4 linked regions of the Diceros bicornis minor genome follow. The protein of the gene in region 2 purifies or fractionates together with the protein of the main gene of each other region. This does not show direct contact. Links are inferred from orthologs where the notes say so. Each region holds a gene or a part of one and is shown on either strand. Other genes may lie near its edges.

Region 1 (6,921 bases), on a different chromosome or scaffold from region 2:
GCTAAAAATTAAACGTGGTATACAAGTTTTCCTATGATATATATAGCAATGATTAGCAGGAACAAGTTGTCTAACAAATCTAGTACCCTTAACTTCTACAGAACTTAAGTTTCTACACTCAATTAAACCATCTATATTTGTTTCTTTCAACCCTCAATGAACTTGGGGATTAAAATCACAAGTGTACAAATTCCTTGAATATAGTCTAGAAAAAAACCTTTATGCTAATATGTCAATTTTTTTTTTTTAATTTCCAGGTATTCACTGGCAAGGTAAAAAGCTGTAAAAGCTTGCCAACTATTTCCCAAACAAAAACAAATTCTATCATAACAGAAAAATGAGCTTCTTCACCTCAAATAATGTACTGGCTAAAACCTACTGGTTCATATGCAATGTTATCCTTTTAAGAGGACTCTATTCCAAAGTGCTGGCACACATTCACATTTTTGTTGCCCAGCATTATAAAACTCTTTCCTCTGCTTTTTCTTCAAGCCAGTGCCACTGAAGTCTGACGGGCTAAATCAGTACTCTTTAACCTTTTTTGGGTCAAGACGCCTTACAATCCGAGGAAAATGATAGCTCCTGCCAAATTAAAAAAACTCACAATTTTGTATACAATTACAGAAGATTCAGGACACTCTGAAAGCCACGCAAGAAACCTCAGGCTAAGAACCTCTGGTTTACTGTTGGGAGACCCAACAAGATCAGATGGTTATCTCCACTTCTCCACCTCTTAAAAACCTTCCAGGATCAGGAAATGGGTGGCTAATTTGATTACATGGTGCCTGGACAAAGTAGCTTGATAGGAAAAAGATGTTATTTCTTGGCCATTTTATAGCAGCTTAAAGATGTTCTTAACAATAATGGCAGCAATTTCAACTCAAATGTTTTACTTGATAATGTCAATTACAACAGATTAGAAGTCTTGAGGATGTCAGTTAATTTTTTTATTATATATAATGTAAAAATCGAGAAACAGTTCAAGGATTTTTATTCCTCTTAAGGCTTGATCCATAGACAGTAAAACTGATAAGATTTCAAAATATTTTACAGCAGTTTTTAAATGTTTTTAATACAGAATACGTGACAAATACAACAAAAATCTTTGCTCTAAATACTAATATAAAAAAGGATAAATACTAATATAAAAAAGGAAATATATATTCCACAAATAAATGGGTAAATTTCCCCCCATTCAAGTACCATACAATTTTAAAAGATCAGAACAATCTTAAAAATTGAGGCTGAAAAGCAATGTACACAAAGCACCAAGAGCTACGTTATCAAAAGTTTTCGATTTTTTTTTGGTTAAAATTTGAACGAACTTTTCTATTTAGCCCTATCATAATTGAAAGGCCAAAATAAAAAAATAAAGTGACTCTGTAAAGTTTCATTTTCAAGTATATGGTCCTTACAGAGTCCTTCGAGCTAAATTCTTGTGAAAAATCAGGTTTAGAATAGAAGCTTGTATTAAATACATAAGTTTGCCATCCTTAGAACTAGCGGCTATCTTCGAAATGACCTACCTATTCTTGAACTGTACGTAGGACAGAAATGGCGGCTTTCTGGTCAATGCCAAGCACAATTAGTCCCCCAAATCAAAGAGCTTCCAAAACAAAACATTCTTTCCACTAACAGCACTGTCCCACACGCTTAAGATATACAATCAGGCAGATAGCAAACAGCCATAGCGAGAGAAGTGAAACCACAAACGCTTTCTTTTCTCCTTGGGACACTCAATCCTAAAATCCACTCACTGGATAGCATATACAAGGGATTACCCAGCAATGTGGTGACTCTACAAATGACTACCAAAATACCTTCACTGCCACTTCAGACTGAATAGGCAGGCAGCTACACTGCCAGCTCCCATCCCCAAACCAGAAAATCATAACCGTTGCTTAAATGTTAACTACACAGTAGGTCAAAAAAACAAGTCGCTACAAGGAGAGAGGCTGCTATTTGGGTGTGTGGCCAATTGCCTCCTCCATTCAGTAGAAACACACCTCAGTAAGGCCCGCCCTCCCCTCGCTTCCCACCCGAACCGATCTGCAGCACTTCTAACTATAGCATACAGGAGCACGCACTCACCCCGCCCATACTCGGAGGAGGCATTTAGAGCAGGCGCCTGAAGTTCACCGCCCCATTCTCTATGCAGCATGGCCTCTGCGTGATCACAGGAGGTCCGGGCTGGGCAAATCTTGAAAGCTTCCTCTACTATACCACTTCCTCTCACCCACCCCAAACTCAAGAGACATCGGAATGAAGGAGAATCGGCATCATCTGCTGTACAATGCCAGCAGTAAATAATTCGATCACTTAACACGCTCAAGCCCCCGAAAACAAACTACAGCACGGAACCCCATTTGCAGATCCCTGAAAAATAACTAACCTTTCCTACTTCTAATCCTACTCTGCCAAAAACCAGGAAGATTCCGAGTTCCTTGCAGGAGGAGCAGGGACGCGGCAGCCCCTCCCTCCCCCGATCCCAAGCGCTCCACCGAGGGGCCACGTGATGCAGGCGGACGTTTCAATGCTGCTGCACTAAATATTTCTGGAAACTTCCACTCCTAATAATTTACAGAAATGTTCCTGAAATCACCGCAACTTCTCCCCAGCCCAGGGGCTGGGGAAGCCCTTCCACCCCCGCGCGGGGCCCCACTTCACTCTCACGCCCCTCGCCTTCTTCCACCGCCACCCGCACACACGAATGACCCAGCAAGCGCTCCCCTCCCGCGGCCGCCTCCCCGCCTCCATCCCCCAGCGGCAGAAGCGGCTCCATTCAATCGCAGGCTCGGCTGTGGGCCCGCCGCCGCCTCCCGGGCTCGCCTCCCGCGGCCGCCGCCGCGCCCCACGCCGGCCTCCTCCCGCCCGGCCGCGCCGCCGCCCGACCCTCGGCCCCGAAGACACAGTCGACTTACCCAGAGATTGAACCAACTGCTTCTTCCTTCCTCGTCGGGGGATTAGGGCGAGGAAAGGTGGGGAGGGGGGAGAGGGGAGGAAATCAAGGTGGGTTTCACAGTTTTCCCACCTTAAAAAAGGAAATTAAAAAAACCAAGAGGATAAGGGCAAAAAAAGCTCAACAATATTTACTATTTCAGGGAACCTCCCCCCGACACACACACCCACCCGCCCCCCCCAAAAGGGGAATTAATCTGTGGAATAAATGCTCCCGCCTGGCCGGGGAGTGAGGGAAGGGGGAGGGGAACGGGGTCAAGTCCCAAAGATTCAGCCCCCGGGGGACCCTCCAGCCACAGGCGGCAGCAGGAGCGGCAGGAGTAGGGGGTGTAGAGTCCACACGGTCGGGGGACGCTCTGCTGCCAGTTGCAGTCCGACTCCCCCCTACCAAAATACGGCTCCCTCTCTCACGCGGCTCCGGCGCTAGGCCCCCCCACCCAGGCTCGCCTAAACTTTCCCCCCTTCTCCTGCTTCTCAGCGACTGGTGGTTCCCCCCTCCCCCTCTGGGTGGTTGCACGGACTGCAGCAGCAAAGACTGGAACAGGCACCGCCGCCGGGGCTGTAGCTACTGTTGCTCTTGCTGATGCTGTAGCTCCCGCTGCTCCTGCCGCGGCCGCTGCAGCCGCTTCTCCCCCTCCTCCTAGTGCCTCAAACTCGGAACCGGTTGAAACCGGTTCAGACTGGGAGATTCCATCTCGGTTGAGTTTTCAGCCCATGGCGCCGCGGAGCGTTTGGAACCTGGGCCTCCGCCCCCAGCCCGCCCGCCCATTGGCCGGTTCCAGCCACAGCCGCGCCATCAGCCTACCTTTTATTGGTCAGATCGCCCGTCAGTCCCATCTCAAGGCTCCACACGAGCCCGCCGCTTCGGCCCCCGCCTCTTTCCAGCAGCGATTTGCCCGCAGAGTGGGGGAGGGGAAGAGGGGCGGGTCAAAAAGGAGTGAGGAGGGGGGTGGTGGAGGAGGAGGTGGGACGAAGAGCTGAGCAGAGCGGAGAAGGGAGCTAAGAGAAGCCTCGCGGAGGATTGGCTTGAGCGAGCTGTCAATCAAGCGAAGCCCGCCCTCGACTTCCCGTCCCCCTCCCGCCGCTCCCCCTCCCAGTGCTTAGCCCGCAGGCCCGGCCTTTCCGGCCTGCTCATTGGCTGGGCGCCTTGGGTGACGGAGAGGGTGGGGCGCAGCTCGTGAACGGGTGGTGGCGCGAGTTTGAGCGCGGCGCGCGGCAGCGTTCGCTCGGCTTCCTCCGACTCGCGCTGGCCCGCCCTCGCCGGCTCCCGCCAAGCTGCGGGGCCTGAGCCCGCCGGGATCAGGACCCGCCCCTCGGATGGGGGCCGCGGTACGCAAAGGGACGGCACACCCTGTTATTTTTTTCTTTGGGGAGGGGAGGAAAAAAGGATCCAAAAGAACACATCGGAGGCTAGTTGTAGGCTCCGGACCTCTGTAATCCAATTTAAAGAGTTGGGTTTCGGGCCGGGGAGTTGAGTGTGAGAATAACCCTGAAAGAGGTTGGGGTGAGGTGTGGGGCGTGCACTCTTGGCGCCTCGGGATCTTCTGAGTCCTGGAAAAGACACCTAAATAGTCCTTCAAATTTTAACTCAGCGTCTCCCCGAGCCGGAATTTGGCTGCTTCAAAAACCAACCTTCCTAAAAACTAAGACACTAAAATCCCTGTAATTGGTTTAACATCACATTTTTTTTTTTAATTTTTTGACATCGCATGTTTTTGGTGGGTAAACTACCTCCCACCTGGTGCCCTTCATCTGCCCCTACCCACGGTTTTTCTTTTCAGCAGAGCTGCCCTATCACATACTTCGTCATCACCAAATAGTATTTTCTATGAAAGTCACAGGCACGTGGCCTTTCACATGTTTTTTTCTCTTGTTTGTCCCCAGGTGCCCTCCAAATCAGCTTTACTGATTGTTCTTTGCTTAAGAAACAGTAAGCAGACCTCCAAAATTTTCTAGGCCCATTGTGCCACCAAGAGGTTGATAAATGGTTTCTTAAATCAACACAATTTACTTCAGCAAGTCTTCACTCACAATGGGTAATGGCTAACATCAAAGCAGCGCTCGAGAGTAACTACCTCACCTTCCAATAAGGAAAAAACCCAGTAACTTAATGCCTAGATTCACCAAAATGATATTGGATGACTTTCAGACCTAAGATTTTTATTCATTGCCTAACTGAATAATATCAAGCCATAATACGTATGATATATACTGATCATTTAGAGTACTTACATTCTATTACCAGAAACACTGAGGCTATCCTGTTTTTTAAAAAGTTTTTCCACTCTACATATTTAGCTCTTGGAACAGTCCACTGATTTTTAGATGGCAGAATAATAGGAATAAAAACTGGGAGTAAGCCATGGCTTTGCTCAGAGTGTGACCTTGGGCAAGTCACTTCACCTCTTTGGGCCTCAGTTTCCTTCTCACCCGTTTAATGAGGTTGTTATCATCCATGCCTGTCTCATCCACGTAAGGATCAAAGGGATATGAAGGAGCAGTGTGACCCATAAAGCACTTTGTGGATTGTCAAGTTCGAATAGTCTCAGTTTGCTATCCCCTTCTTTGGCTCTTTTCCTTGCCGCTTTAACTCCTGTCCCCAGGAGGTCATATCTCTTTGACCATAGTGAATCAGATGTAAATATTTTTTGCCTAGAGTTAGCCAAAATGGAAGTATTCAATATAAACTTGTTATTAACAAGAGCAAAAAGAAGTGACAGGAGCAGATAATTATGTTTGAGCACTGTGTTTTCAGGATCACATTCGGAACATAGGTCTGACATGTGTCTAATATTTTTTTTATTACCTTCATTTGTTGGAATCAAACAGATTTCAAACCTGGAGTCAGATATGGATAAGGAAATGTAAGTAAACTGTATTAAGTGCCTTCCTGTTGTGTAGCAACAGAGACCTTTTTGTACAGTGTTTCACTGAATTCTTACAGCAACCCTGTAAGACAATTATTATTTTGCAAATCTCACTCTTGCTCTACCCTGCCCTCTGTTACACACACATACACATGCACACAGGTACACACCACCACACAGTAGTTGAGTCAACATTAGAACCCACGTTTGTGTTCTTTCTACTAGTTCACATGGTGTCACGAAACAACATTCATCAGAAATAAGAGAAACAAACTCATAAATTCCTTTTTACCACTTGTCACTTATTTCTATTTTTTAAATTATTTTTAATTTAAAAAGTAATACATGATCATGGTTAACAATTCAAACAATAGAGAAAGAAGTATCTACAGTAAAAAGTAATAGTCTCCTTCATATGTCTCCCCAGTTCTTTTGCCTAGAGATAATAATCATTAAGGGTGTAGTGTGTATGCTTTGAGATATTTTCTATGCATTTACAAATGTATTTGCTTTGTGTTTTGTTCAACATGTATGACATCATATTATACATATTGTTCAGTGACTTTGATTTTTACTTAATGGGTCAGAATGTATAAATCCACCTCATCCTTGGTAACAGCCCCTAGCTTTCCCCATCTTCTCAGTACCATAAATGATTCAGCCATTCCCCTACTGAGGACAATGAGCCTATTTCCAGTTTACCTCTTAAAAACAATGCTGCGGTGAGTGTCCCTGTACATTTATCTTTGGGCACAAATGTGAATATATCACTAGGTTACCATTCTAAAAGTGGAATTATTATGTCAAAGCCCATGTATATTTGTTATTGTGATAGGTGCTGCCAAGGTGCCCCCTAAAAACATTGTGCCAATTTACATACTCACTACAATATATGAACAGTACCTGTTTATTGCCTATCAAAGTCACAGATATTTGCTATTAAGGTCACACTAGAGTCAAATAAGCAACGTTTGTGTTTTAATTTGACCTTTTGGCTCTGAAGACAATCTCCACTGACGGTGAGCTCTTCAAAGAATACACAAATAATCAGATTGAATGCCCATGTAATGCAGTAAAAAATTTTTTAAAAATAAGG
Region 2 (7,945 bases):
AAACGCAGACTTCAACAGCATAGAGTAGTTTTTAAAGAATCTGTTATATGCAAATTACACTCCAACGTGTAGATTATCTTCAGGTGTTCCTATTGCATCCTTCTACATATTACTACACTTCGGATCATATACATTACATAAACCAATCACCTGGCTTGTCTCCAAATTAAAAATACACGGTATCATATGTAATGGGGAACTCCGTATTTTTTGTATTTCCATTCCTGACATCAACAATGTAATAAGAAATTGACACTCAAGCCTCTACTCTTTACAGTATAAAAAGAATAGTACATACGAAACAAAAATTAAATGAATATTAAGAACATTTTGAAAAAATGATAGCTCTTAAGAGGAAATCAGAAGTTAAAAAAAAAAAAACTCCAGTTGTTGAAAGAATGTTATTGGCAGGGATTAACAAATTCTTTATGTTCCCCAACAGAAATAGGGGGCATGCATCCACATTATATAATATGTATATATTACTGTTAATCTGTATCTTGATGCTTAATGTCTTCCTTATTTTATATAAAGTTTTAAAAATCAAAGTTTTAATATTTTCTTCCAAATGAATCACCTTACACTCTACTTCAGAAACCCTAATCCCTAAAAAATTCATGATTTCTAATCTCCTCTAGTACCAAACTTAAAACAACAAAATTAACCACTTTTTTCTACCACAAAATGTTTTAAATGAACTATCATCAGTAGGAATTAGTCATTCTTTTAACCACAGGTAAAGGTCAGATTCGCCCACTCCACATTTCCCATCCTCAAACTCTTTTAGCAATAGGAACTAGTATCCTTGGGTCGTGTGCTCATCTTTAAAGCAAGAAGTAATGATCCGAGATGTAAAGACACCAGCACCATAAATAAGCGAGTGACACAGATATATATGGTTTGCCTTTCATTAGACAGCTCTTTCTGGACTTGACCCAATGAGACCTGCTAATTCCACCCATATTCTTTTTACCCTCACCTCTGCCACCAGAAACTACTGGCATAAGCATGAAAAGCCAAGGGCCATGAAAACCAAGAGGAAGTCTCCTTCTGTGTTCTCATAAAGAACTCTTTATAAAGAACAAATTCGGTTCACTTTTTGAAATGTGTAAACCACACGACAACAAAACCACAAAAGGCCAACAGAAAACAAAGTACTGTCAGATTAGCAAGTATTTTTGTTACAATACTGTTACTAGGTTACTTCTAGCTGCAAATTTCTTCCCCAGTTTTAGCTCTCTCCAGCACAAACTTATTCTCAGGCAGTAGGTCACGAGGCTGCTCTGTGTTTAAACACCGCCTCAGCTCCACTTGGCCACTTCCTAAGAAAAGCTCTTGCACTTCACCCACTTATTACCTGTATCAAAACAGACAACCCCAGCTGAGTCCCCTTCAGCCCTCTGAAGCAACCGGTCTTGAGTGCTCCTTGGCCTTTTATAGTGGAGGCATGTGATGGGAGTATCTGCACCAGCTGTTCCTAATTACCTCTCAGGCTGGGGCGAATGACTCAGCAACCCAACTTTTTTAAGGAGTCATCCTACCTTGTTATCCAACCAACGTAGTATTGAATGAACAACGGTAAACCAGTCGACACAGCTACAGCTTAAACAACAATAATACACGATGCGACGTAATTATTAAACCAAGGCCATCCTACTCCAAGCTGACTCACCAAGAGTCTTCCTTTCCCAAGGCTTCTTTAATCCCAAGGCAGAAGTGGCAAGTGCCTTCAAGCCCAGCCCAGCCCTTGCACCACTACCCAAGACCAGGAAGAAGCAAGCCCTCTTCCCATTTCTCTGCTTGACCATGTGAAGCGCTCAAGTGCTCTGTCACTAACACGTCCGGTGTTTCCACCCTTTATCTTTCTGAACCGCCTTAAACGCACACCCTCAGGGATGTAACAAGGAGTGTTAAAATATACAAGCAAAGACCTAGTAGTGGCATTCCCCACGGATAACAGTCCCAACGATGATAGAATTCTCCAAAAAGATAAGCATCCCTACAAAACAGTCTTTGTTCCTCCAAGCATGACATTATGGCTTGTTTTGCCCACACACGTTCTTCCACAATTACTACTACACTGTACCTTGAATCAGCCCAAGTCTAACGCAGCAGACTCACTGCACAACAGCATTCCGCACGATTCTACTCAATGACAGGAAAATGCTGTGCAAGAGTGAGAAAGCAATGGCCCTCGTGTGACAGCAGACGAGCACAAAGCTGGAGTCTCTGTAATCCACGCCCACTCTCACCGTATTGTGGGAGTCATTACAACGTGCGGGCGAAACTCCAACAAAGGGAGCCCTGGGATCTCCGGTTTCCTAACCCGATCTTCGCTGAACGCAGCCCCGCAAGGCGGTATTTCTGCTCCAGCCACACGCTCGGCCTCTCTACGCGATTACACGCGCGACACACACCCGGGCTGGGAAGACGGGAGGCAGACACTCGCCGGCTGCGGAGGCTGGTGGGAGGGGCGGGAGGACAATACGGAGCCGGGCCGGCCGCGCGGGCGGTGCTGATGTGTCACAGCCCGGGCGGGCCTCGGCTGGGCGGGCCGGGCTCGGACCCCGGTGAGGGGAGGCGGGGTGGGGAGCGCGCGCCCGGACCCCGCGGCCCCCGGCGCAGCCCCGCCCTCCGCCCGCCGGCCCCCCGGCCTGCCCGGGGGCAAAGTACAGCGCGGGCCCGTCAACAACAGCGCCGGCCGCGCGCAGGGCCACGGGGCGCCCCTTCCGGCGGGCGCGGCCGCTTCCAGGCGTGGGGGCCGCCGCCGCCCCCCGCCGGCCCCACGGAGCGCCCCCGCCCGGGCCCCCCTCGCCGCCTCCCCCGGGCCTGCCCGCCGGCCGCCCCTCACAGGCCGGCGGCACCGACCGCGCGCCGCCGCGCGGACTCTCCCGGGGAAGGGCGGGCGGGACGGTCGAGCCACTCACCAGAGCCGAGGCGCGGCGCGGCCCGACTGACGGCAGCGGGAGAGCCTGGCGGGCGGCGCGGGCAGTGGTCAGATGACTCACGCTCAGCCCGCGGCCGGCCGCCGCCTCTCTTTCCCTCCCCTCACCTCCCTCCCCTCAGCCGCCGCGGCCGCCGCCGCCTCCAGGCGCCGAAACGCCCTCCCGCTCGAGGCCCCGCCCCATAGGCCCATCTCTCGAGGCCCCGCCCAGGAGGCCCGCCCCGCGCGGTTAGGCCCCGCCCCCACTAGAGGCCCCGCCCCGCCGCCCACGAGGCCTCACTCCTCCCGCCGGGGCGGGGCGGGGTCCCGGCGGCCGTGGCCACGCGGCCTGAAGCCCACGCGCGGGGCTGCGGGGAGGGAGCGCGCCGGCCCGGGGCGGGCTGCGCCTCGGGGAGGCGGCGGCGGCGGGCTCCGCGCACGGCGCCTGAACGGAAAAGCCACCCGAGGACCGCCTCCTCCTTCCCGGCTGAGGGCAGAAAGGAAAAGGCTGACGGCCTCCTCGCCCCAGGTGTTGCCAGGACGCCAGGAATCGAGCAAAGCCGCCGCGAGCCCGGAGGACCACAGGAGAAAGGACAAGCGCCGGCGACGTCCCTCCCCAGACCCTTTCAGGGGTCGCTTCTGGAAGCCCCCTAGGCAGAGCTCCTCCCTTGCCTTCCCGTGGCCGGGCGCCGAAGTTCGCAAGGTATTTGAGCTTACTGATGGGAAAGTATCAAGTGCATCCAGGATTTTGTAGAAAGCATCTGGCAGCCCTACTTCTGTCTGACAAAGGAAACAACAGCGTCGGCTAACAGGTGTTCCCTTTACCCTGTGGCTGCCAGGAAACTTGGAGCCGGGTTCAGCGCCCAGTGGTGTCAGCGGCTGATCTCAAGCCCTGGTCGGGCTTCAGTCCTCTGGTGTTTATTCTGGTGTTTATCCAAGTGTCAGTTTTAAAATTATGTTCCCAAGCCATTTAGCACCTCTGGAGGTCAAACAGTGTCTGCAAAGAGAGATGCGCACGTGGCAAAGCCTATGCTTATCAATCTGGAAGGAGACGTGAACACACTGGGACCTGCCAGCCACACCCAGCAGCATCAGGGTGTGTGGTCTCATTCTTGAACACAGGAAGACAGCCCTGGAGCTCCCAGGGTGGAAAAGGCTACCAAGATAATAAAGTCAGGTATTATCACTAGCATAACTGCGTTTGTACTCACAGGCTATGGGGCTTAGGGACATTTGAGCCACATCCAAAATACATGAGAAAATGACAGAAGTGAAATTGTATGGGAGTGCAAGGGGTGAAGTGATTCACTATGACCTAGAATCAAGGCAGCAGGTAGTATATGCATTGGGTCTCAACTGGGAAAAATAGGACCCAGCAGTCCAGGGAGGGAAGTGCATATGCAAAAATCCAGAGGTAAAAGGCAGATGGCATTCCAGGCTGTGATTTCGTGGTGGGGTACAAATATCTAGGGAGAAAGGAGGAAAGGACAGTTGGGCATAGACGGTGAAAGGATTGGGGTTCTTATACACATGGGAGAGTTTTTGAGGCTTCACTCTTCTTCCACCCTAAGCCGCTGGAGTTATATTCTTCCTTCCTCCCACACCTTTGCCTTTTCTTCTAGAGGAAGAATAGGCCCTCCTCTTTGGGAGGAACTCTTCCTTCTTTACCCTAGATAATGGTGGTGATATTTTCTAGCCTGAAAATTACGGCATGGACTCGGGTATGTTTCATCATTTGAAAAGTCTTACAAAGGTATACCAACGTGTTGAGAATATCAAGGCAGTTAGGAGTGACTCTCAAACTTTAGCGTGTGGAAGAATCTCTGGAGCACTTTTCAAATGCAGATTCCTGGGCCCTGCCCTCAAAGATTCTGATTTCATATGTCTGAGTGGGACCCAGGGATCTGCATTTCTAATAGTGATTCTGATGGTCTTCAAACCGCACTTGAGAAGTCCTGAGTTAGAGCTTATGGTGTGCAGTAGGGATGGGGTGAAAAATGAAAATAGGGAATAAAATAAGACCAAGTCGGACTGGGAGGGGCCTCATGCACTGTTCCTAGAATTTGGACTTTATCCCATGGGCTGAAGGGTGTATAGAGGTCTTGATGTTATGATTGTTTTTTGATGCTAATTCCAGAGCACTTCATTCACACCAATTTCATTACCTTAGCTCTATTTGTCTTTAAATATTCATTCACCAATTCCATCAACAAAATAGGCTTTAAACTGTGGGGCGTTACCAAGATAAAATAAGCATAGGTCTCACCAACTTGAAAAAATGCCAATTGACGCTTCTTCCCTCAAAAGTGATTATGGATTGAAACCATAAAACCCCTACCCTCAGGTTGGAAGGTTTTTGTGCAAAATGAACATATTTTATTAGAAGACAGAACTTCCCTGAGCAAGATGGGCAAACACGGCGTAGTGTTTACCTGATATAGGAAAGGAAAGGTAAGGTGAAAGGAATGTACCCTCTGGCTTCAGATGTCCACAAAATCTAAGATCAAAAAAAGGCAGAAAAATGAACAGGAAGAAGACACTATTGGAGCAGAAGAACTCAACAGGACAGGGACCAAATTGGTAAAAGAGGTGCTACTCAGATACCAGATTTAACAACAACCAGAGTGGCTCAACCTAGGGTCCAAGTAGGGGAAAGTTCTTGTGCCTCCAAATTGCAAGCTGTGGTGCACTGAAAATGGCTGAAAAACTTTTGTCACTCTCCCCATCAAGAAGGGGAGTTTATTTTCCATCCCCTTGAATCTGGACTGGCCCTGTAACTGCATAGCCAAGAGAACACAGAAGTGATTCTGTGTCAGTTCTGGACCTCGTCTTTGAGAAGATTAACATCTTCTACTTTCTTTCTTGAAACGATATCTCTCGGGACACTCCCTCTCAGAAACAAGCCACTGTGCTGTGGGAAGCCCAGTATGGGACATGTGTAGCCTCTCCAGGCAATAGCCCTGGCAGAACAACCAGCCAATAGTCAGCATCAAATGTGTCATGTGAGCAAAGCGTCTTGGATGTTCTGGTCTAGTCAAGTTTGTACATGACTGCAGCCCCAGCCAAAAGAACCTCCCAGATTTTCCTCAATTATGGATTAGTTGTGCCCCAAATTCCCCTCACTCTGCTGTATATATTTGTATAATGTTGTAGAGAAATTGTTATCCTCTCAGAAGCTAATGCTGGAAATTGTACTTAAAATTTATACACACGTACACACATAGAAGTGCTGGGGGGTAGAAAGTGAGACCCTCAGGATTCTGGGGGTAGCCTGGCTGCTCTGCACCCAATTGTGGAGGTGAGAGAGGAGAGAGTCGAGTTGCAGCCATAAAGATGACGGAAGACTGCACAAAGCTTGATGTAACCAATCCCTCAAGGCCGCGGTCAAGTTACTAATGTTTGGTGCAAGTGCCTACCTGTGGAAGCAGTGATGTTTGTGCTTGGTGCTGAGTCACAAACAGCACGGCCAGAGCCTTCAGCCACAGTCACATGGCTGCAAAGGACAGAGAAAAATCCAGCCCGATAGCTTTGTTGTGTGTATTTGTTGATGTTGACGCCAAGGATTATAACCTGCAGCACTTGATCTTTTATCTTTAAAATTCATGCAGGTATTCAATTCTATTCCATAATATATTTGTTTTGATAAAAGTGTTCTCAAAATAATTGTGTGTTTTTTTTTTTTAGTAAAACTGACACAACAAGTAGTGGGGCCGTGTTTTAACTCATAGTTTTACTTCATCTGGCATATAACACTTCATTCACCTGAACAGTGCTTCTCAAGAGAGGCCAATTTTGCCCCCCAGGAGATATTGGTATTGATATGGGGAAGGGAGGGGGGTGCTACTGATAACTAGTGGCCAGAGGCCAGAGATGCTGTTAAACATCTTATAATGCACATAACACTCCCCAAGGATAAAATACTTTGTGAATAAAGCCACCTTATCCCCCATTCACAACAAAGAATTCTCTTGCCCAAAGTGTCAATAATGCCGAAGCTGAGAAACCTTGACCTACATGTTGTCATGCTCCAATATGAGACGTGTATATAAATTAAAAGAAGGAACAAAGGAGAAAAAGGAAATAAGTGGAAAGAAAAGACAATGGAGCCAGGGAAAGAAGCTAAAAGTACATATCACATAACATATACCCTTGACAAAAATGAGCTACAAAATTATCTGTAGCTTCTTAGCAGTCAGGTATGATGAGCTAACATGAGGTTGAACTGGAGCCACTACAGTGAGAGGAAGAAGTACTGAACTCTTAGAGAAGAAGAGAAAATGGACACAGGCTGTGACTCCTATCATGACAGCCGGTTCCCTGGACTGGGGTGCCATATGTAGGAAGTACTTTGGAAATGGACTAGGATGATTGACCTCTGAGGTTTAAAAGCTATAAAGTAAGACCAACTGGGTCAGAGGAGAGAGACTGATATTACCATAAAGAGATAGAACCGTCATTTGGGGGTGCTGGATTTTCACCATTGGCCCCTCCAGATTCCCTCTCCAGCCTTCTCCACCCTGTTCTGTGCTGCAGGAGGCAGGCCTCTAGGCACGACATCCATGGGTTCCCCAGCTCCCTCACTTCTGGTTGTATGTGGATGATGGGAGGTGTCAGCATGAACACAGCTGTCTCCCTGCCAGGCCAGGGGCTGGCTGTGGCTATATTCCTCTACCAAAGGCCCCAGCTCCTGTCAGGCAGCCTTCACCGAAAGCTACAGACAAGGCAGCAGCATTCTAGGGGTGGTGATACTTGCCCACCTTGGTTAGCCACAGGGTGCATCACTGTCCCTTGGCCGGTTACCTTGTAAGTGGTCCCATATGCTTTTTCCCAGTTCCCTGAGTGATTCACCAGGTCAAGACTTGGGGGTAACCAGAGTGAATACATTAAAACATATAAGGAAAGAATACGATTGTCAGAAAGAGGAGTTCATCAAAATCTAAAGCCAAGAAAAGGACAACCAGAGGTGCAAACACAGGTAGCACATCCCTTGCACTGCCTTGGGTGCCTTGGCCAAGGATACAG
Region 3 (7,616 bases), on a different chromosome or scaffold from region 2:
TCAGATGGTTGAACTTCTGAGGTGACTGGCACACTCAGTCCACTGTCTCCCATTCCTAACCCAACCCACAGATGCTGTCACTTTTCTCCCTGACCTTTTACGTTAAATAAACTGGTTTCCAGCCCCAGTGCCCTGACTTCTAATGTTGTCACCACATGTGGAGGGAGGCCATCCCCTGGCCAGAGAACTGTTGTCCAGTGTAACAGCCAGGCTGCCGGGGGTGGGGGGGGGGCTGAGCATCCCAGTGAGCAGAGGGGGAAGGAGCTTCCGGGGAAGGGTGCAGCCCTTTGGCCTCAGTCACTAGAGGCAGGATGGAAGCTGGTACCATAAGCTGGGCTTGGCGTGCCCTGCTGTGGGAGGGGCACCAGCCTCTGCATCCTCCAAGCCTCCTGGCTTGGTGGGGGAAATGTCTCCTCATCTCACCCAGGCGGGGCCAGGGTCACATGAGGAAGGAGCCCCCTTGGGGGTGTATTAGAGTTCTCCAGAGAAACAGAGCCAATAAGAAATGGTTTATATATATAAAATAAGATAAATATAGAGAAAAAGAGATTTATTATAAAGAATAAAGAATTGGCTCATGCAGTTGAGGTTAGCAAGTCCATGTACAGGCTGGACCTACAGAGAGCTGATGTTCCAGTTCAGAGGCCATCAGGCAGGGAGAGGCAGTTATAGGTGATGCCGGAAGGCAGTCTGCTAGACAATTCTCTCTTACTCTGGGAGGGGCTGTCTTTGTTCTATTGGGGCCTTCAACTGACTGGATGAGGCCCACCCACATTATGGGGAGCAGTCTGCTTTATTGATTAAAATAATCTTGTGCAAAAACACTCTCACAGAAGTAGCCAGAATATTTGACCAAACATCTGGGCACCCTATGGCCCAGTCAAGTTGACATATAGAATTAACCATCACTGGAGGCCCATAAGATCAGAGGAGCTACTGAGGGTCAGAACCCTTTCTGGGGCCAGGAGTGCTCACATTGGTTCAATCAACAAACAGTTACCAAGCATGCAGACAGTAAGATGAGGCTCCTTGTTTCCAGAGGTTGGGACACACACACACACACACACACACACACACACACGCTCAAGTATGTTAGGGGAGCTGGGCTGGGTGTCTGTGGGCTGTGTGGGGGGAGCCCCAGGCGAAGCAGTGGTTCCCCCCAAGGAGCAGAGGAGGGGATCAGGAGAGCTGGGCAGAAGTTTTCGAGGAACCACATTGCAGGGTCTCATCTCCAGTTCTCCTTCCTCTGGGCCCACTTAGAACCAAGGCCTGGGGCACGTGGGGTGGGTGGAAGGGGCACTTTGGGGACAAAGGTACAGCCTCCAAATCTAAGGGGAAAAAGGAGACAGGAAAAACGGAAGAAAATGCACAAGAGATAAATGAAGGGCAAGACTGCGTTCCTCGTCCCTGTCAGGGTAGCCTGGAGAGTCCTGGTCACTCCCCCCAAAAAAAAAGAAGATGGGGGGGTGTGCTGCTCCTGCCACACGCACCAGGTCTGAGGGTCAGAGAGAGGCGACCAGGTGACTCTAAAGTGGGGGAGAGGCATGTCACAGCCTTGGAAGAAGAACAGGAGTCCAGACAGGCTTTGCAGCGGGGCTTGGTGCCGGCCCGTGAAGAAGACGCCGGATTTCAGCAGGCAGGACCCATGAGCATTCTCGCTGTGGTTCCGATTAAGCCACAGGCCAGAGCTGGGGCAGCAACAGAGTCAGATGGGGCCTGAGGGAGGGCTGTGACTCAGGCAGGCCAAAGGCTGCCGAAAGGGTTGAGGCGGCCTACGAGGCCCAGAGCGTTCTGCAGGGAGAGACACCACAGAAGCCACTGAAAGTGTGAGCACAGACCTGAGCAGAGCAGGAAGGTGTTTTACATGGATCCAGAGCAGGCCAAGAGGGAGATGGGCTCTGGGGGCCGGGGCCCCCCAATGCCAGCTGAGAAGCATTACAATGTGCCTTCTCAGAAAGCCGCAGAAAAATGTGGCTCCAGAAAAGCCACTGCAGGAGCCTCACTGGGCTAGGGTCAGCTTGGCAGTGCCTTCCTGGCCCATCACTACCAGCTCTGACACCTCCCATGGCCTGGACCCCCTAAGTGGGGTAGAGGCTGGAGTGAATCTTACTGTGCTTGGCCCAATGGGCTGGGTAAACCTGGTGGAAGAGCCAGCTCCCTCTGCTTGATCCAGCTCCTGCCTCAGTTTCCTAATTGGAAACTTGCCTTAGGCTCTTGCCTGCCTGGCTGAGGCTCTTACCCTGCCCACCTCTGCCAGTCCTTTCCTGTGCCAGGCTGACACCTATCCCATGGCCCCTGTGCAAGCTGAGCTCAAGCTCCAGAACAAATGGGTCAGCAGCTCCTGGCTGTGTCTGTTCCCAGGAGAGAGAAGGAGCGGGGAGGGAAATTCCTTGCTCCCGAGAGTAGGAGGTCCCTCAGGGAGAAGGAGCAGAGCAGCAGATGATTCATAAATTGGCCTCTCAGTTACCTCTCATGTGTAAATGGCAGCCAGACTCCATCCTGTGAGGATTGAGGAGTCAGGGGTACAGGAAAGTGAGTGAGGATTAGCCAGTGAGTGTCCACCTGTGGTAGCCCCCAGCCCCAGGGCCAAATCACTTGGTTATCAGTGTTTCCTGATGGCACCATGGTTCCAGCTTGACCTAGGTGGCCCCATGTCAACAGATGGGGCCTGCTGTACTCCCGCAGCCCAGCGATAGCTCGAAGTCCACACAGCTACTGAGCAAGACCAGGAGAACGGAGCCGGCACCTGGTGGTGAAGAAGCTAGAGGAGACAGAGCCAATAGGACTGCATCCTTGGCCTCAGTGGCAAATCTTTGCTCTTGTGTACATTACGAGTTGAGGGCTGGGCCAGCCCGTGGTGTAATGGTTAAGTTCGGTGCACTCTGCTTTGGTGGCCCAGGTTCACAGGTTCAGATCCCAGCTGTGGACCCGGGCGGGCTTGTCAGCCATGCTGAGGCGGTGACCCACATACAAAATAGAGGAAGATGGGCACAGATATCAGCTCAGGGCTAATATTCCTCAAGCAAAAAAAAAGAGGAAGATTGGCAACAGATGTTAGCTCAGGGCCAATCTTCCTCACCCAAAAAAAAAGAGTTGAGGGGCCGGCCCGGTGGCTTAGAGGTTAAGTGCGCATGCTCTGCTATTGGTGGCCCGGGTTCAGATCCCGGGCGTGCACCAATGCACCACTTGTCTGGCCATGCTGAGGCCGCATCCCACATACAGCAACTAGAAGGATGTGCACCTATGACATACAACTATCTACTGGGGCTTTGGGGAGAAAAAGGGAAAAAAAAAAAAGGAGGAGGATTGGCAATAGATGTTAGCTCAGGGCCGGTCTTCCTCAGCAAAAAGAGGAGGATTGGCATGGATGTTAGCTCAGGGCTGATCTTCCTCATAAAAAAAAAAAAAAAAGAGTTGAGGGCTTTAGAAGTCATGTCACAGGTACATGAAGGCCCTAAGTATGTGACACTCGGGCTATACCCAGTGTAGGGGGATGTGCCCTGCCCTAAAGAGCATGGGATGATACGAGAACCACAAGCAACCCTACAAAGTAGAGAGTGACAAGGAGCTGTGTGTTCAGAGAAGTTCCTGGAGTCTGGCAGGTGATGCTTGTGATGGCTTTATGCTCCCTGGCTTCAGAGGCTTCCTTGGTTGGCCTTCCTCATTCATTCAGTGGCACTGCATTCTCACAAGGACCCCACAGCGGGTGCCTCCTCTGTCAGCTCACCTGGGTTCCATTGATCTGCCTGGCAGGGTGGGTCACCCTTCCTGGCTTTACACCTGAGCAGCAGTCCAGAATTGGAAGTGGAAGTTGGAGCCCTCCGATTTCCCTTCTACCCCTTCATGGTCTTTCTCTGGGAATTTTGAACAGCAGTGAGAACTCCTTACAGAAAGGGCAGGAGCAGACATGGATACGTGAACTGAGTTCCAGACAGATGTTGATGAAAAAGGAAAGGCAAGGTACAGTTCCTACATCAACTATTAATTTAACAGATGTTTACAGGCGCACCTGCTCTGAGCCAGACACGGTCCAGACACAGTCCTTCTCACTTATGTGAGTTCTCCGGGTGTCGGGTGAAAACGGACCACACTAATCACACTACTGGGAGGATCCTGGAGGTGGCCTGAACGGACCTAAGTTTGAATCTTGGACAAGCCTGTCACCTCTCCGCGCCTGTTGCTTGTCTGTGAACCAGGCCACTGTTCCTGGCATGGCTGAGGAGAGCTCTCCAATTACGCGAGGTAATAATACATGTAGAGCCTGCCGTGCGGCATCAGAAACACCAGGTAATGCCCGGGGACCGCGGGTCCGCACCCGCCCCCTGGACGTGGCCAGTGAAAGTGTGTGCACACCAGGGTAAGGAAGGCGCCTGGGCAGGACCCGCGGCTCCCGCTGTGGAAGCGGGGTGGGGGGGTGGGGGGCAGTGTAGCAGGTTAAGGGTGGGCGTGGCCGGCGGGGGAGCGCGCGTCCGCGCCAGTCCCGCGAGACCCCGCTCGGGCAGGGCGGGGCGCGCGCGTTGTCGGGGCGACGGCGCTGGGCGCGCAGGCGCAGTACAGGAGCGCTCCGCCGCCGCCGCTGCGGCCGCTTCAGCCGCCGCTGCCGCCGCTGCCGCCGCACCTTCCCCTTTAAGCCCCGGACGGTCGCGTCGCCGCTTCATGAATGGAGCCCACGTGACCAAACATCATGTGACGTCTGTGGAGCGGCGGCGGCGGCGGCGGCGGCGGCGGCGGCGGATCCCAAGCCTGGTCCGGCCCGGCCTTCCCAGCGCGCTCGGCCCGGCCCACGCAGGCGGCGAGCACGCCCCCCCCCCCCGCCCCCTGGGCCCGGAGCCCCCGCGCGGCCTCGGAGAGCCCCCCGCCCCGCCCCGGCCTCGGCCCGCCCGGGCCTGCAGTGTGGTGGGTGAGACGGCGGCGGGCCCAGGCCGGGCCGGCGGGGTCGGGCGGGGGGCGTGCGGGGCGGGCGGGGGCTCCGGGCCCGGGGGCACGGCGGGGCCGCGGCTCCTCCTGGTGGACCGGGGCGGCGCGGGCTGGGCGCTCCTGGCTTCGGGTCTGCCCGCACCCTCCTGGCGGCCCGTGCCTCGACTTCCCCACCGGGGAAGCAGCTCTTGGCTCCTGCTCCTTGGGTGCTGGGGGTGGGCCGCAGGAGCCGGCGGAGCTCGGGGCGGGGCGTGTGCGGGACTGGCTCGGTAGAACCTACCGCGCCCTGGAGGGAGGGGCGGCCGGGGTGGCGGGAGGAAAGGGTGGGGTCGAGCGGGACGCTCGGGGCTCCGCGGAAGAGCACGGCGGCCCCGGCTGGAGCTGCTGATTCATCAGGTGTCCGTGTCATCGCCTCCCGGGCGAGGGGTCCTTGGCGGGCCGGGGGAGAGAGGTGGCACGTGGCAGGGCTGAGAAGACCCTGCTCCGTCGGTTTCGCCCCCTCACCCGCGTGCCAGAACCCAGAGGGAGACTTGCTGAGTCATCAGCATGAGGTCACTCGATGCTCATGTTGATGCCTGGGGGGATTTGAGCTAGGGGCTTCAGGGCCTGAAAGGTCGGGAAACGAGGAGTAGGAGGGAAACCGTGGGGATGTGGGGAATAAGCCCGGCCCAGGGGCTGGGGCGCCTGTTTAAGTTTGGGCTGATGAGCGAGTTGAGGGTAGGGCCGTGAGGAGGAAGTGGAGGGGCCACCTTGCAGCTTATCTCCTGGTCTGGAAGGTGAAGTGTCTGGCCTGTCTGGCCTCTCCCAGGCATGCTACTCTCTGGCAGCTGGTCCTGCACCCGCATCTGGGACAGTTCTCCAAACTGGGAAATAGTTCTCTGAGTTACAGGAGGGGAGGAGCTTAGGGGGGCCGTGCTTGCTGGGCTGGGAAGCAGGCTTTCCCTGTGACGAGTCTGGTTGGCCAAGCTGGGCAGCCCTTGGGCAGGGAGAATAGGGATACACCCTGGCCAGAGAGAGAGGCAGTGGGAGAAAGAGAAGTGCCTGTACTTGAGCCCTGAGTGACGGTGGACAGGGCAGGGGGCAAGCAGGGGCAGCTCCACCAGGAAATTGCAAATGAGAGGAAGCAGCAGGACTTAGACGCCTGGGGAGCAAAGTGGTGAGCAGGCCCAGCCCTCCTTCGCAGCCAGGCCTTAGGCTCTGGGTTGAGGCTGCAGGCAGTGGTAGCTTCAAGGGTGCCTAGCCTTCAGAGCACGGTAGGTGGGCTGGTGTGGATGGCATAGAGTGGAAGAATGCAGTTCTCAGTCACCCCAAAGTTGTCCCACCTGAAGTTGGGGCTCAGCGTTGAGGAGGTTAATGAAAAACATGGCCCTGATGGGTGTTGAGGACTCTTGGGGAGTGACAACCCAAGGGTAATGTGGCCAGAGCCACCTTTCCTGGGTGTATGGGTGGTTCCTGGCCTCCAGGGATGAGAGTGTTTTGTCTAGACCAGAACTGACCCGTCTTGCCCAGGGGTCATGGTTAGCTTAGGTTGGCCTTGGGGTGTGTCCCCAGGGATGCCCCCCCCATACACATTCACACTTAGCCCTAAATCTTCTTATTTACTTATGCTTTAGTGGAAATGAAGTTGTAGACTTTTTCAGAGTGGCTTTCAGTGGCTGAGGGCTTCTGGAGGAGGTGGGAGTGAGGCCGGGTTAGGTTGAGTACCAGAGTGCCCAAGGCCACATCTGCCTAGGAGGTTTGGCCACGGGGTTTGCAGGCCAGGAGAAGGAGCAGGGGTGGCTGGCTTGCCTCCTGCCTAGTGCCACGGGGTTTGCAGGCCAGGAGAAGGAGCAGGGGTCGCTGGCTTGCCTCCTGCCTAGTGCCCATGCCCTGGAGTTGGGTCCAGGGGAAGGGGATGGAGCTGCCCAAACCTCTTTCCCCTTCCTGGCTGGCTCTGAGCCTGAGTGGGAGGCCCAGGGTACCTTGGTGGATTGGGGCCCTTGGGACCCTCCGTTCCTTCTCCATGAGGTGGGCTCAGCCTCTGGGGAAGCAGAGCAGGGAGGAGGGCTGGTGGGTGTGGGGGCAGTTTCTCCTTGATCCGGCCTCGGATCCCCTCCATCTGGCTTCTAAAGATGCCCTGAGCCATCACTCCTAGCCCATCCCCAGAGGCTATCTCTGTCCCATCAGTGTGTGTCCCCAGGTGGGCAGCAGAGGCCAGGAAGCTGGCTTTGCTGAGACCTGCCCCTCCCCCACCACCCACCTTTGATTAGGAGGCGATTGGCTGTGCTTGTGCTGAGTTCAGGCCTTCTATGGAGGGTGAAATCTGTCGAGGAGGCACTTTTCCGCTCCCAGCCGCCACACTTGGCACTTTTCTTGTGATCTCTTCAGGAAGTCACCATTGTGCTCAGCATTCAGGGGTGGAAGAAGGATGGCAGGTGGGAAAAGCTGGTGTCAGGGCTTTTCCTTTGGGCTGACAGTGGTAGGACACAGGGCAGTGTCCCTGCACCCCGACTTGGGGTCAAGGCTGGGGGAGCCCCTGCAGCTCCGCTGCGAGGGCCTGACTCCCAGGGTGGGTGTGGGTCCGTGAGGACCTTCTGATCTCCAGCTCTGGTCTGCCCCATCTTCTGCTCTGGAAGAATCATGCGGCTGGAGCCTCAGGGCCTGCCTGAGAGCCCCGGGTGGCCTGTCTGTGGGGAGGTGCCTCTGGCCTCCTTCTTGCC
Region 4 (7,580 bases), on a different chromosome or scaffold from region 2:
GCCTCCCGCGTCCCTGTGGTCTGGGGGCGGGCTGTCCAGCATCTCAGCCTATGGCTGGAGCAGGGTGGGGATGATCCAAACACACATACCTTTGGCTTTAAAACACTGTTCAGATCAGACTGACACTGAAATTCCTCTTGAGCCGACTTAAGCTGCAAGCTGGGGAATGCAGAGGGAAGCCATACACTCCTAGGAGAGAGCTGTGCAGGTTTTCCGATCTGTTTGCTCAGGGGCCAGAGATTGAAGGCGTTTATTGCCCACTCTGAGCCCTTCTGGCCATTCCCTCCTTCCCCTTGCTTCCTGCCTCCAGGGCCAATCCTCTGCCACCCAGAGGACTGGGAATCCCAACTACAGACTCTTGGGCATTAGCTTATGTTTTCAGTCAGGGACAAACCATTCCCGGTTAGAGCTTCAAGTACCCAGAGAACTTTCCTTGTGGGCCTCCTGGGTGTTGAGGGACAAGCTGGGGCTAGGCCAGGGTCATTCATTTATTCACTCATGTGGTTTACTGAGCAGCTGTGACACACCAGGCACTATGTTAGGTTCTGGGGATAGAAGAGGAACAAGACAGAGTGAAGAGACTGCTCTTTACAGTTTTCATGCCTTGAGGACCACAGGTATCAGCAGCCCCATTCAACTCACCTGAGGTGGAGTGACTGCATTCTGGTTCAGCATCCCTTTGCTTTTCAGCTCCTAAAAGCCCTAGAGTATGAATCCCTTTAGCTGGCAAACCACTGTCATGGCCACCCCTGGATAACATCTGCCACTAAATGCAGATGTTGGATCTTGGGCTCCGGGCAGACACCATGCCAAGTCCGTCTGGAACTTTCAGGGATAGCTGCCTTCAGGCCAGCATCTTTGGGGCACTGTATAATAGCAGTTTGAGGTCCGTGTCTAGAAGAACAAGGAGTCTGGAATTTGCTGCCAAATGCATCTCAGGTTCTTAAACTCATTGTCTCTTGCTCATTTATTATGGAGTCCTTCTGCCCCATCAGTGGATAATGGGAGGAAAAGGAGCTTCTCCTTTAACATTGAAGCCTTTCCTCGTGAGTTGGTCTCTCTTCCTGACAGGTGTGGACCAAGGAGCTGGGAGAAAGCTGGCAAGGTCGACCAGATGCCCAGCTCCCGCTGGACCCCTCCCCCCGCCAGCTCTGATGGCAGTTCCTGGCAGGTTAAAGGAGGCTACCTCCAAAGCATGTGCCACATGGCTCACTGTGAGTCCTGGCCCTTGCTCCCACCCTATGCCCCACCCCAAACAATTGAAAATTGGTAGCAATCACCAGATAGTGAGTTTCTGGCCAGCAGCTCAAGGAAGCTGAATGAACCCCAAACCCAGATCTAATGACTTCAGAATGTAATTCTCCATCAAAGATGCAGCATTGATGAAAATGCTCTGCACTGTTTGATCAATTTGAAGGGCTTAGGAAAGTTAACAAGGGTGTGTCCCCTGTCCTACCCCACCCCAGTTTGCTGGCTTTGTAATAAGATGAGACCTTTTGGTTATTGGTGTCAGACACCTTTGGATCTTGAGCTCTCTCTCCCACTTGCTTTCCCAGAGCAGGATACTGGGGCACTTTCCAGAGGGTGCTCCTTACAAGATGCCCAGAAGGACTATATTTAACTCTTGCTATTGTAGCCTGGGGACAGCCACCCCTCCCCCTGGGCATATAAGAGCAATGGGTCATGTGGTCAGTGGATGACTCCACAGAAGTGACCTCCTTTGCCAGAAGCTGTAGCCCTCTCCTTAACAGGAGTCTCTTGTTGGCCAGTTGGCCAGAGGGCCTGCTTCCCACGGGCACTGCAAGTGCCACAGTGCGGGGCCTGGCTCTGCACACCCAGGAAAAGTCTGCAGACCCCCAGCCCTCCGCAATAATTCACCAGACCAGAAGCCACTGATGTACAGAGAACACTTAAGAAAAATGTATTTTATGTGAAAAAAAAGTTACAACTCTGTATACTGTATCAGCAGCTTTGTGTAAAAATGGCAATCAAGAGAGTCTAATATATTTAAAACTTTTTTAAAAAAAAATCCTCGCGGATCTTTGATATTGTATTGAAGTAACTTCCAGGTAGCTCCTTGCCATGCGGCAGTGGTGGGCCTTGTGTCCGAGACCATGGCTCGACCACATCCCAGAGGGGCATGCCCCTGGAGTTGCTTCCAGCTGCCAAGGCCTGTGACAGAATTCGCTGTTAAGAATTTTTAATTAAGATTATTAAATTTCTTTTAATAACACCTGCTAGCATGGCTGTGGTCATTGCTGTGAGCTCACTTGAACTATGCTAATTTGAATTCACAAAGAGGTGATACCTGGGATAAAGGGTGGGGGAGGGCTCCCCGTCGGTCCCTGCTCCCACCATAGAAGGCTTTCCAGGAGGGCCCTGAAGCAGAGGGAGTTCTGAGGGCTCAGACATGGAGCAGATGTCTGTCTAGACTGGGAGATGGTGAAACCTGATGAATTCAAGAAAAGATAGGTGGTTGGGAATGACCTTCACTCTGTCAAATGTTCTGTTTGGAATTAACGTGGAGGTCTATAACAGCTCATATGTGTGTATATATATATATATATATTTTCACACTTTCAAAGGTTTGTCTGATGACATATTTATATATAACAGGGCTGCCCCTCTCTTCTGTTCTGTTCTTGGAGTGCACCGACTTGTCCTATCCTCTTCCCCCCACCCCACACCAGTCCTTCTCCTCATATAGCTTACAGTGGGGAAGTAAAATACTACATACTACTTCGCATTATTATGACGATACAGCAGGCAAGACCCTGGTTATTCTCACTTTTTATCTCAGGCAGTAGAGGCATTGACAAGCTATGTGGTTGCACAGCCCCAGACCGTGACAGTCTTTGTCTTTGTCATGTGAAGAAGTCTGTTGGTGTCTCGGGAGAGGATGAAAAGGGTGCTCTCTTAGACCCTTGTGGATGCTGGATGCCAGAGCAGGGACACATCAAAGGGCCCACACTTGGGCTTGAAAAACTTCACAAACAGGCTGGGGATGGAGAGAGGATGAGAAGAACAGAGCTATCTTTGAAGAGTGGCCATTCATCCATTTAAAAAGTGTAGTGGTTTCTAAATAATAAGGGTAACCTCTCATATTATGAAGCACTTTAAAGTTGCACATATGCTTTCTCATTTACATGAAGAAAATGAAGTCTGAAAAGAGACTATTCGATTTAGCACTGCGGAACTCATGATGACCTTGACGAGAAGTTTTGGCAGAGCAGAGGAGGATTAAGCTTGATTGGACAGGGTTCAAGAGAGAATGGGAGGAAAACTGGAGACAGCAAGTACAGACAACTCGTTTGAGGTTTTATGCTATCAAAGTGAGCAGAAAGAAAAATGAGGAGGAAGCTCTGGAGGAATGTAGGGTCAAGACAGGGTTGTTTTAAGATGAAAAATAACTCAGCATGTTTGTACGCTAATAGGAATGAACCATTAGAGAAGGGAAATTGAAGATCCAGGAGAGAGAAGAGAATTGCTGGAGAGATACGGGTTAGTAGTAGAGGAGCTGGCAGCTAGGGCCCAAATGGAAGGGACAGTTCACCTGCAGTAAGAGAAGGCCCTGTAAGTGGGCAGAGATACAGACGGGTAGGTAGATGTGGTGGGAGCATGTGGACTTTCTTGTCTTGACTGCTTCTATTTTCCCAGTGACACAGGAAGCAAGGAGAGAGGAAAACGTAGCGTGACTGAGGGAAAGGTAGGCTAGCAGGCAACCTTAAGGGCCCACTTGAGATCATGAATTTAAAGCCCAACCAGTCAGCAGGGTTGCGTTTTCTTTTCCCCAGCCCTATACTGCTGCACGGGTGCAGGTGGAAAGTAGGGGGAGAGTGGGGTTTAACCAGAGTTGTGGTTTTGCCAGGCAAAAAAGGATGACGTGAGAGAAAAGAAAGCTACCTGAGGCTGTAATCAAAGGAGTGACTATTATGGTGGACCAGTATATTTGAACGAATGAATGACTGATTAAATGCAGGGGATAAAGGTGACATGGCTGGTCACACACAAGCTCTGAAAGCCCAGGATCAGCGCGGTCAGTGTGCCCAGGAGCAGGCTCCAGCCTCTCCTCGCTGGGCCCAGGTCTGACCGCCCAGGCCTTTGAAGGGCCGCGCTCTGGGGCGGGCCGGCCGGCAGGGGGCGCGCTAGGATGGCTGAGGCCCGGTTCTCGGGCTTCAGTTCGGGTTCCGCCGCCTGGGTCGCCGCCCCGGACAGCACGGCCACTCAGGCCTGGCACCCTCTCTAGCTGACCGTGAAGACCTCGGCACCCCGCAGGGCCGGAGGAGGCACGGCTACATCGGAGGCAGTGGAGAGGCCCAGTTTAAATGCTGCGAAGCATCTCCGGAGCGAGTGCGTGGACTCGGCCGCTGCCCGCAGCCAATGCGTGGGCGCGGGGCGGGGCCGGGCCGCGGCGCAGCCAGTAGCAGGTCAGGGGGCGGGGCCGTGGCGGCGTGTGCACTCCGCCGTTAGGGGCGGCAGCCAATGGGAGGCCCGGGGCGCGGGCCGGCTAGATTCAAAGGTGCTATAAAGCCGGCTGCACGCCCGCGCTCGCCCGAGCCTGGTCCTGTCGGAGCGGCGTCATGGCGTTGCGGTGCGAGGTCCTGGACGAGCTGCCGGCCGCCTGCCTGTCGCCGTGCGGGCCGCCCAACCCGGCCGAGCTGTACAGCGAGGAACGGCGCCTGGCGCTCGAGGAGCTGGTGGCGGGCGGCCCCGACGCCTTCTCGGCCTTCCTGCGACGCGAGCGCCTGGGCCGCTTCTTGAACCCCGACGAGGTGCGCGCCATCCTGCGCGCGGCCGAGCCGCCCGACCAGGAGGGCGCGGCGGCGGGGGCCGAGGACTCTTTCGGCTCGTCGCACGACTGCTCGTCGGGCACCTACTTCCCCGAGCAGTCGGACCTGGAGCCGCCGCTGCTGGAGCTCGGCTGGCCCGCCTTCTACCAGGGCGCTTACCGCGGCGCCACGCGCGTCGAGGCGCACTTCCAGCCCCGGGGCGCGGGGGCCGGCGGCCCCTATGGCTGCAAGGACGCGCTGCGCCAGCAGCTCCGCTCCGCGCGAGAGGTGAGCGGCCCCGCTGGGTCCCTTGGTTCGCCTTGGTCCCCGGTCGGACGGGGGACGTTCTTCAAGAATGGGAAACTGAGGCCTGCTGGGAACGCGGGCCAGGTGGTCCCGGGGTCCCCGACTTGCGCTACTCCGATTGTATCTCCTCGGGTCCCTAATCCCTCTGGCCGCTCCTTGTGTCAGGGGAGATCGGGAGAAGTCTCAGCCTCCAAGGATGCGAATTGTGTCCAAGGTCCAACTCCTAACATTCACATCCTCTGGGAGAGGGGACCAGAAATACTTCCAGTTCCAAATTTCAGTTAAAACTAAACCGGATTGCAAAATTATCTGGCTATCAGCCAACACTGCATCCCACTTTCAGGGGCCTCTTAGGAGATGCATCATCTAGGAAAAAGTTCTTGAAAGGTTGTCCTCAGAGACAGCTGTGGGCATTAGAAATCTATTTTTGCTAGTCGTCTCATCTTATGTTGGAGAAAGCAAACACATATAAGAGCGGCAAGGTGAAAGCCCTGTCCCTTTCCCTCCCGCCACAGACTGGAGGAGAAGTTGCTCCTTCTGCAGATGGGTGGAGCAGGGGGTTTGCTTTTCCATAGGCTAGGGACTGCTCTGGTTAGCAACAGCTTTCTAAAATGCAGACACTCCTGTATTTGGTCGTCTCTCTATTCCCAGAGGGTTTTGGTGCAGTTGTCTGTCTCAGTGTGACATGGTATTGGGGTGCAGAGGGAGGTTTCATCTCCCTGCCAGCCAGGATGACACTGCAGTAGAGTGCTGGGTACCCCGGGGGTCAGGGAAGAAGAATGCAGCTCGCAAGGTGAGTGGGGCAGCTAGGGTGTGGTGGTAGACACCTTACTCCAGAGCCATGGTCAGCTGCCACCTTGCTATCTGGCAGTGTCCAGCTTCCTGGCTGTCTGTCTGTGCCAGGGACATGGCATGTAAAGCCCAGGCCATGGTAAACTGGTAGACTAGTACATGAGTGTGTCTGGCTGTGGGTTACAATATCCACATCAAGTCCGGGAACAAGCCTTGATTCACCAGTGTTCCTGATGCTGGTTATTCTCTGCCTGACGGTGGGATGGCAGTGGGTAGGAGATACAGTGGGCTAGTGCCTTGGGGGAGTAGATGTGGGCTTTTCCCAGCTAGGCTGGTATCAGCCCTACAGTGCTTTGGGTATGCTGAGGGTCCTTTTCGGGCAGCAGACACTTGTGGGTTCAGTGAGAAGGTTAAAAAGGTGGAAAAAAGCACGATTGTGGGGTAGGTCTGCATTCCCAAAACTCATCTCCAGGAGGAGAACTTGGGCACTTGGAACTTGAGAAAGTAGTGACCAGGTCTCCATGAAAGAGAGGGAGGCATTGCCCTGCCCTCTTGCTCAGCTCCGGTTTTTAGCGGTAGCGAAGGGGCAGTGCAGCTAAGGCCAGGGGGAAAACTGTCCGTAACCTCCTGTGCTGGCCTTAGAAAGGGCTCCAGGCTGGCACTCAGACTTCCTTTGCCCTGTGGGCATTCTGTAATACTGACGTTCCTCGGTAGACCCTCCTGCCCTGTTCTGTGCTCTAGTCCACCTACCCACTCATAGCTTTGAGATTCTGTATTTGCAACTTGGGCGATTTTAAGGAGAAAAGTGGTACATTATCTTTAAATCTGGTGAGGATTTTCAGCATTTCTGCCATATGCCAAATTGCGTGCATTTTTGGTATCTACTGTGTATCAGACGCTGTGCCAGGGGCTGGGGCCACAGGTGAAGGGCATGATTCTTGCCTGCACTTCAGAGTTGACAGTCTGCTGGTGGGAGCGGTGAGGAGGTTGCAACAGGCAGTGGCGAGGGGCTGAAGAAAGAAAGCTGCAGGAGTGGGGGTGACCTGAGAGCTGAGTACAGGGGGTGGGATGGGTGGGCCTAGCCAAGGCAGAGGATAGGGACCTGCCCAAAAGTGTGAAAGGACTTGGTGTGTTTGGAGGCAGCCAGGTTCCTCACAGCTGGATCAGAGAGTGTGTGAGGGTTAGTGGCAGGAGAGGAGGCTGACGGTGGAGAGCGGGGCCAGACTGTCGAGGGCTTTGTACACTGCTTGAAGGAGCTGTGGGGAGCCGTTGAGGGTTTAGAGAGAGGAGAGGAGCGTGATCAGGTTGGGGTTCCTGAGCAATAATTCTGCTGGGAGCATGGAGGAGGATGGGCTAGAGAGAGGGGAGACTGATGTCTGGGCTGGTTGTAGGGAGGAGGCCATGGGGATCTACACACGAGAAAAGAGTCTGTGCGAAGGCAGTGCGGGGGGATTGGGCGGGGAGAGAGTTTTAGGTAGATCATTAGATGTCCTGGAAGGGTGGTTGGGGTGCGGAGGGGATAGGCAGGAGAATAGGCAAAGCCAAGGAGAAGGAGGGATAGGAAGAGTTGAGGAGGACTGAGATTTTTTAGTTTGAGTGGGCAGCAGTGCTACCCAATTCCAATACAGGAGGGAGAATAGGCTGAGGGTAGGGATGGGGAGATGAGTTGGACTTGAGACAGGCTAAATTTGAGGTCTCAGAAACCAGCTCTTT

What was found.
Region 1: the proteins of BACH1 (region 2) and XPO1 purify together in Homo sapiens (affinity purification with western blotting; 3 studies listed by BioGRID, with this or other methods). This does not show direct contact. The link is inferred for Diceros bicornis minor from reciprocal best matches to the Homo sapiens genes BACH1 and XPO1.
Region 3: the proteins of BACH1 (region 2) and MAFG purify together in Homo sapiens (affinity purification with mass spectrometry; 5 studies listed by BioGRID and IntAct, counting the BioPlex papers as one, with this or other methods). This does not show direct contact. The link is inferred for Diceros bicornis minor from reciprocal best matches to the Homo sapiens genes BACH1 and MAFG.
Region 4: the proteins of BACH1 (region 2) and FAM83D purify together in Homo sapiens (co-immunoprecipitation; 3 studies listed by BioGRID and IntAct, counting the BioPlex papers as one, with this or other methods). This does not show direct contact. The link is inferred for Diceros bicornis minor from reciprocal best matches to the Homo sapiens genes BACH1 and FAM83D.

The regions. Positions count from the first base shown.
Region 1 is NC_080751.1:25,718,179-25,725,099, reverse strand, and holds the start of XPO1 (exportin-1), read right to left. Parts: upstream 3,011-6,921; 5' UTR 2,922-3,010; intron 1-2,921. UniProt on the Homo sapiens protein: Mediates the nuclear export of cellular proteins (cargos) bearing a leucine-rich nuclear export signal (NES) and of RNAs.
Region 2 is NC_080766.1:30,145,252-30,153,196, reverse strand, and holds the start of BACH1 (transcription regulator protein BACH1), read right to left. Parts: upstream 3,011-7,945; 5' UTR 2,928-3,010; intron 2,506-2,927; exon of another isoform or gene 2,253-2,505; intron 2,240-2,252; exon of another isoform or gene 2,087-2,239; intron 2,079-2,086; exon of another isoform or gene 1,673-2,078; intron 1-1,672. UniProt on the Homo sapiens protein: Transcriptional regulator that acts as a repressor or activator, depending on the context. Binds to NF-E2 DNA binding sites. Plays important roles in coordinating transcription activation and repression by MAFK.
Region 3 is NC_080757.1:61,254,648-61,262,263, reverse strand, and holds the start of MAFG (transcription factor MafG), read left to right. Parts: upstream 1-4,603; 5' UTR 4,604-4,656; coding exon 4,657-4,896; intron 4,897-5,612; exon of another isoform or gene 5,613-6,206; coding exon of another isoform or gene 6,207-6,266; intron 6,267-6,723; exon of another isoform or gene 6,724-7,205; coding exon of another isoform or gene 7,206-7,331; intron 7,332-7,616. UniProt on the Homo sapiens protein: Since they lack a putative transactivation domain, the small Mafs behave as transcriptional repressors when they dimerize among themselves.
Region 4 is NC_080758.1:21,344,004-21,351,583, reverse strand, and holds the start of FAM83D (protein FAM83D), read left to right. Parts: upstream 1-4,572; 5' UTR 4,573-4,580; coding exon 4,581-5,057; intron 5,058-7,580.